2 linked regions of the Schizosaccharomyces pombe genome follow. The gene in region 1 interacts genetically with each later gene. Each region holds a gene or a part of one and is shown in the gene's direction. Other genes may lie near its edges.

The links. A genetic interaction does not mean that the proteins touch.
Region 2: mutations in mcs2 (region 1) and mde6 together harm fitness more than expected from each alone (negative genetic interaction), as found in Schizosaccharomyces pombe (one large-scale study listed by BioGRID).

What each region holds. Positions count from the first base shown.
Region 1 is NC_003423.3:1,891,033-1,894,793, forward strand, and holds mcs2 (transcription factor TFIIH complex cyclin Mcs2), read left to right. Parts: upstream 1-1,947; 5' UTR 1,948-2,123; coding exon 2,124-2,396; exon of another isoform or gene 2,397-2,482; coding exon 2,483-2,556; exon of another isoform or gene 2,557-2,608; coding exon 2,609-3,230; 3' UTR 3,231-3,376; downstream 3,377-3,761. Other genes in the region: GDP/GTP exchange factor Spo14, read right to left, coding at 1-191, 238-363, 511-624; SAGA complex, phosphatidylinositol pseudokinase subunit Tra1, read right to left, coding at 3,401-3,761. UniProt on the Schizosaccharomyces pombe protein: Essential for progression through the cell cycle. Possesses kinase activity that can be detected when myelin basic protein (MBP) is provided as an exogenous substrate.
Region 2 is NC_003424.3:3,694,623-3,698,383, forward strand, and holds the start of mde6 (muskelin), read left to right. Parts: upstream 1-1,942; 5' UTR 1,943-2,885; coding exon 2,886-3,130; exon of another isoform or gene 3,131-3,172; coding exon 3,173-3,746; exon of another isoform or gene 3,747-3,761. Other genes in the region: ain1 (alpha-actinin), read left to right, coding at 1-269; pun1 (SUR7 family protein), read right to left, coding at 540-1,406.

The sequences.
Region 1 (3,761 bases):
TTAGTGCAAGATATACAAATTGCATCGTGTAATGGCTCAAATAAACATAACCTTTGATATTGTTCATCATTGTCAAAATCGGTTAACCTGAGAGCGTTCTTTTCCTCAAATAGTTTATCCTTTCTTCCATATAAACGTAAATGGTCAATTAACTTTCCGTCAATGGTGTTATTAATACCGGCTATTAATTCCTACAATTTAATTTCGTTAGCTATGCAATAAAAAAATATTGCATACATTTTTAAAATAACCCAACGACATAACGGCATCATCCGAATGCTTAAGTTCGATTTCTCCATGTTCTATAAATTTTGTATGACCTTCACCAACTTCAGGTTCATAGTCTTCATATGATAATAACTTCTAAATTCGACAAACTAATTAGCGCCTATAGTCCAATTGTAAAACATAATCTTTTTAGCTAACAATCCGGATACTAAAAAGTTTATAATGCTGTAAAATAGATAGATAATGAAGTAATCCTTCACTTACAGTCACGAATTGACATACCAATTTGTTTTTAACACCAGATTTTGTAGTTCCTCCTCCACCACCAACCGCCATTTGATGGTTATTAATCCAACAAAGAGAATAAGCTGGAAAAGAAAGGTGGAGTTCAGCCATTTTGATCTAATAATTAGAAAACACTTTAAGCTGGATACGAGGAATAGGAATGTATTGAAAAAATAAATCGATATCGGCGACGAATCAAAAAAAAATTCTACTTATTAGTGAGCAAATCAATAAAGTACACTTACAAGAATTCCACTAAAAAAAAACAATGTCTATTTGAATACGGTGGTGTGGGTATGTTTCGAAATCGCTGTGAACCTACTTCGAGACTTAAGCAAATACTGTAAGAATATTAGATCCCCGTATCAGAATCTATCGAATAATATCGACATCACTATCCTCTTTTACGTATTTAGGCGATGTTTAATATATACATAAGTTTTTATCCATTTTTTTATGACAGTAGAGAAAAGATTTAATTAGAGATAACCTAAATCCTTATTGACTTAAAAAAGGATGATACTTACTTGTGGATATTTATTTGCGAAGAATCTTTGAACAAACAGAAACTTATAATAGATTCTTTCTAAATCTCGGAGCATATTCTGGCTCATTTTATATTTATATTTTCCTTTTCAGCTTTTTAGAACTCAATTCCGACCTCAGTTTGGTTGCAACTTTGCTACAGACACTATTTAATATCTCGGTCTCCTGTACATTTTACCAGGTTTACGTTGTATTGTTTATATAGTTTATATAGCAATATTTACTACATGTTCATCATATTACGAAAATAGATTAAGAGAACTGGGGAAAGAGTGAGGAGATGAGAAATTTTCGGATTTATTTATAATTTCCAATTATTATTTTTAAGACGAAATTGCCGCGAGACTACATTGTCCATGAAATTAATGTTTGTGTTTATTCTACTAAAGGGTATGAATGCTCGATCTCGTGCCAAGGTGCCTACAATCTTAATACGCCGCTGCCTGTGTATGATTATAATATTACTTCTGTTTTTTGCACAGAAAGCGTGTTTCATTTCAAAGATTGACTTCCAATTAAATTTAATTAATAATATGTTGTTTCATTTCCTTATTTAACTACCAATTCTTGTTCATTTGCAATTCACTCAAATATGTAACTGAACGTTGTCAGGTAATTTTTTGGCTTTAAATGATATGCCTCAATGGAATATAAAAAAGCATAATCCTATATAACTATTGTTTTTTTCAGCTTCGTTTCAGTGAAATGTTATGCTGATACAAATTGATTGAAACATGAATGCAAGACTTTTTTCAACTCAACAATATTTTATTTATTAGTAAATTTTAGTTTATGTAATAAACTCTTCATTAAATTAATATAACTTTATAGTGCTGCTTTCTTTTTGCACATCGCACATTAATTGCAAAAACTCTCTTCTCCACATCCAGGGTATCTGATGTCCTCGACAAAGTCTCAGCGAACGAGCGATTTGGGTTTTTCATAGCAGAGAAGTATCCAAATTTCAAAAATATTATTATTTTACTGGCTTTATAGAGAAGTATTTAAATTTTTGCATAACCCTCAATTGATAGAGTGCTGTAAATTCTACTTACATTATTCACATGTCTGCCGATAAATTTCGTGATTCCACGCATTACAGAGATTGGATTTTTACGGAAGAAGACCTTTCAAAAACACGTGCTAAAGTAAATGAAAAATTTACGAATATTGTACGTGAGCGAATGCTGGAAGAGTTGTCTTTACAAAACAAGGAAGCATCCTTAGAAGTTTTGCCTCCAACTCTTACCGTTGAAGAAGAACTTGAACTTGTAAATTATTATAGTTTCCAGTTGAACGCACTTTCTTCCGCTCTTTCCTTACCAACTCATATTCGCGTATGTTTAGACATGGTCGGATTTCCTTCAATTACTTGGAAACTGTACTCAATATAAACATTCCGACTTTACTCACAAAATTTTAGTCCACGGCCATTCTTTTTTTTAAACGCTTTTATCTAATTAACTCTGTCATGGAGTATAGTCCAAAAATTATTTCGTATGTTTAAGTCGCCGAGTCCATTAAGCTAACATTGTTTTTCTTACATTAGGTTTACTTCTTTATTTTTAGCTACCAAGTGCAACGATCATTATATCTCTATTGAACAATTCTGTAAAAACATGCCCAAGACGACTCCCGAAGAAGTTCTTGAATACGAATTTAACGTTTGTCAATCATTAAAATGGGACCTTTACGTCTGGCTTCCATTTCGTCCTTTACAAGGCTTCCTTTTAGATTGTCAAACAGTGCTTCCGAAAGTTGCTGTCGAAAAGTTTTACGAATGTCATGACCTTTCCAAAAAATTCCTAATTGAGACATTGCATTCTGACATCTATTTCTTACATTCACCCAGCATAATTGCTTTGGGTGCTATTTATCATACGAATCCAACTATTTGTTTACAATATATAGAAGCAAAAAAAATTCCAGAACTGCAACCTTTGATAATTTCGATTTCTGCCAATTTGAAAGCTACAAAAAAATTTAAGATTGAGAAAAAAAAGGCACAAGATTACGGCAGAAAGCTATATTTCTGCATGAATCCTCTGCGAAACAAGTCTAGTGCTTTGTACCTTAAACGAAAAGCGGAAGAAGAATCAACTAATAACAACAAATGGGCTAAAAAGTTCTCAACCAGCAGTAATGTGTTGGATAAAAATCCGTTTGAATGATTCTTTCTTTGAAAAGTGCTAAATTTACTTCAATAGTCATTATTCGTCAATTTTTTTTACGACAAAATAGTTTACGTTTATAAAAAATTCCCAGTAAAATTCACTATCAAGTGTGTCTCATTAATTATTTTTAATGTCTATTTGTAAAATTAAAAACATTTTCATTTCTCTCACAGCCAAGGAGCCCATAAGACGTCCATCTGTGCCAAAACTTTGGAACTAGAGGCTTGCGCCAAATAATCAATAGCTGTTTGATTGACTGGTAAGTTACCATAAGCAACCTGACTTAATGATGCAACCCTTCGCATTATAAGATCAGTATTGCTATTGACTTTGTTGAGCATACTGAAATCTGCCGGCACGCCTTTAGTTTGCTGTGCAAGCCACCAAAAAAGATCATCTCTAATAAAGATACCCAAGTACATATCCAAATCGAAATCCGGTTTGGAGAGCGCGCGAGCTATAGCCATTATTGAAGGGCCCAGTAAACCTTCAGTACAAGTTTTTCCAATAAATTCTTTAATGTTGGGG
Region 2 (3,761 bases), on another chromosome or scaffold:
CTAACTCGGAAGAGGGTGTTACTTATGAGCGTTTTACAGAAATCGTGATGGAAGAATTAGAGGATCGTGATAGTGCTCGTCAAGTTTTATATGCGTTTTGTGATGTTGCAGACGGAAAATCTTATGTCACGTCCGATGATCTATTGAGGAGTCAGGTTCGTCCTAATATAGTAAAGTTTTTAGAATGCAACATGAACAAACATTCAGAAGGACTGGATTATCTTACATGGATTAAACAATTACTGGCCGAAGACAAAGAAATAGTTTAAAACGGAGCATTTTGAATCACTTGATAAACTTAATGAACATTATTTGGATGAAAATTTAGTATACTTGAATAACAATATATATACGTTACAAGGGTCAAAGAAAAGTATATTTTTAAATACAGTAACTATCTGAAGAAAAACAAATCTCAATGCTAACTAACATAAAAATGAAAGAAAAAGGAAACTTGACATCAATACAAAAAGAAGGGAAAATAAAACAACATGCTAATTTTTAACAAATAATGGGCAATAAATAACGGACGATACAACTTAAAGTGGACTGTATCCGGATGTAAGATTTCCAATAAAATATAGAATACAAGCAGCTAAGCCAGCAGCTGCTGAAAGGAATGAATAAGCATAAATTTTCTTTCCTAAAACGATTGGAATGTTAAGAATTTCGATATTTTTTTCCAATTCAGAAATTGCAATACGATAAGTTGCAACTGCGATAACTGCAGCGATAAAAGTAAAAATAGTTGCAAAGAATGAGAAGACGTTGAGAAAGAGGGGACCAAAAAATGGAAGGCAAGAAATAACGATTGAAACTATTGTCAGAGCAAAGAAAATAAATCCAAGAATATACATGGCTCGCATAGCATAACATGCCCCTTTAAGCACTTTTAATCCTAAATCCACCTCGGAAGGTAAAGTGATGTTAATTTGGCTACCAGTTGCATTATTAATACTGGTTTCCAGCATTGTAAGGGGGTTGAAGTAATAACTAGGAGAAGGAGTACTACAATAAGTAGGATTTGTATAATCAGACGAATTTCCCTGACAATAATTCCAAAGACCAATGGAGTACCAGTCCGGGAGTTCAGACACGTCCTTCATCTCCTGCTCAACTTGTTCGATTAAATCAGTAGCACCTTGATCAATATATGTTTCGAGCGTGTCTACCAGTGTTCCAGTAAGCTCGTTAAGTAGGTTGCTTGTATTATTGACAACAGCAGTTTGATTGGCGACAGAAAAGATAGATGTAGTATTCAGTTGAATAAAGTAAATATTTTGAAAAGCAATGTTATGCTGAGTTTGATTGATGATGCATAGAATTGACAAAAGCGCGCCAACTCCAACGCAAACGGTACCAATACCAGTGAACAAAGCTTTAATAGGATTGAACCCCATTCCCATTTTGACAAACAGTTATATCAAAAACCAATTTGCTTGGGATGACAAAAAGAAAGAATAATATATATGATTATATATAATAGATATCACGATTAATAAGGAAAACTGATATGTAGTCTCCAGAAATAAACAATTCTTCAAGAAGCTGGGAAGAAGAAGGACAAAAAATCGGCTGAAAAATAGAGGGAAACACTTCAAAAACGCTGTTGTAAAACGAATTTCTTTGAAATTAATACGATTTAACGCGAGGATATTGAGTAAACAAGATAGTATGGATAGTAAACAAAAGAGAGAGAACTGGTTTTTTTTTTCAATCGTAAAGGCAAGTAGCTGATTGTTTCTTAACCTTTTATACGCATCAGAGGCGCAATCTCTTAAAGTCTTAATCTTCTGTAAATTTGGAATGCCACAATTGACACGGAGGGCCCGCTACGAGTAAAATATGTTTTGAGAAAGCGAAGTTGTCATGACAACCAAGTGTAAACAGACGGGTCATATCAATGTAAATAAACCAAACGCGGGACGTTTTCGATGTTTGCAACAAGCTCGACTATTATACGTGTGAAAAGGATGCAGTGACAGCAATTTTACAGTTCTTTCGCAGCAAAAGAAACAGTTCTGATATACGAACTCAGCGGCGCATGCTGTGTCGTACATTACTGACATATAGGCGCAGCTTGAGTTTCAAGCCCCATTATATATGAAAAGAAAGCGTTCATTAGATAGCCAAGTAAAAAAATCAACATAAGCGCTTTGCTTTTCTTAGTATTCGTTCCATGATACCGAACACAATAATTTGGGCTTTATATAGTTTTTGTATAAAAAAGAAATCATATGATTATCATATTAACATTTAATCGTTTAATGACTCTCAAAGATCCGTGATTATATAATAGAGAAGAGGAATTTACGTCGTCAATGAATCAGATATAATATTTAAACTAACATCATATAGATTTCCCATATTATCTTCTACCATGCTTTCATGACGAGGATACTTAATTAACCAATAATTTATACTTAATATGGTTGTGTTGCTCTAGTTACAATTGAAATTTTGGAAAGTGGTTTGGTCCATCGCAAGATTGGGTAGTTTGTGAATTCATTTAATTTGCCAAATAAATGAGCGAAATTCTCAGATAATGACAAAATAGTTATTTTTTTTTCTGGAGAAATGCGAAAGAGCTGTTGGAGTTTCTTTTGTAATATCGAATGGCAGAACAGAACTACTTTCTTCATATTCGTCAATAAGTTAAGTTCAATACTGGATCCAATTTCAACTTTTACAAAATGAATTATAATTGTTTACTGAAATTTCCCTTTTAAGTTTAGACCCTTACCAAGACTGTAAAGCACCTTAAGGAAGCGATCATTACTGCCTCTTTTGTTTGTTTACATTAGGTGCTTTCCTGATTTCTCCAATACACATACATTGTTGCTAGACTCATAGCGGTCAGACGAAGATAATTATTGATTCTTTAAATGGAACGTAAAGAATTGTCTTATACCATTCAAAGCTGGTCCAGCTATTCTGGAGCATTTCATCCTATCAATATACTTATCGATAATCCACACCAGGCTAACAGCCGATGGAGCTGTAATACTTCAATATGTAAACCCAACAACTCTGAAGAACAGTATGTAATTCTGAAACTTGATAAACTTGCGTTGGTTACCGATATCACCTTTGGGAAATTCCACACTCCCCATCTTTGCAACCTTAAAGAGTAAGCGGTTTATTTTTTTTTTCTTCCTCTAACAGTTTTAAGTTTTATAGTATATGGGGGGCGTGAACAGCATTTGATGTTCCCTTTATTAAGAGCTGGATTGACAAATGATTCAAATCGAGAAACATTTCCATTGTGTATCAAGAAATATAACAAAATTGAGAATTCAATTGCTTGTAAGTATATCAAAATTGTTCCACTTCAAGCTCATGCTCATGAATTTAACATGAGTATATGGTATGTTGCTTTACACGGCATTGACTCAGCCAGCGCTTTATCATGCACAGAGAAGAACAGAGCTTTACATCTAGAAAAAAAGGCACTCAATTGCCTTCTCTCTTACTTTGCTTTTAAAGGGAAACTTGATATATGTTCTGTGATACTTCAAAGCTACCAGCTTTCCATACCACATTCACCCTTAATGAGAATGTATGATGCATTTTGCAGACTAGGAGACACTCAAAAAACCATTCTTCTGTTTCAACAAGAACTTCAAGCTGAAATTATTGAGAAATGGCCAAAGCATAAATTAACCAAATTACGGTCGCATAGAATAGCTACATTTTTGAAAGGAATAAGTAGAAGAAGCGGTCATCAAATGGTTTACAATCCAAAGGTACCTTAGATTTTT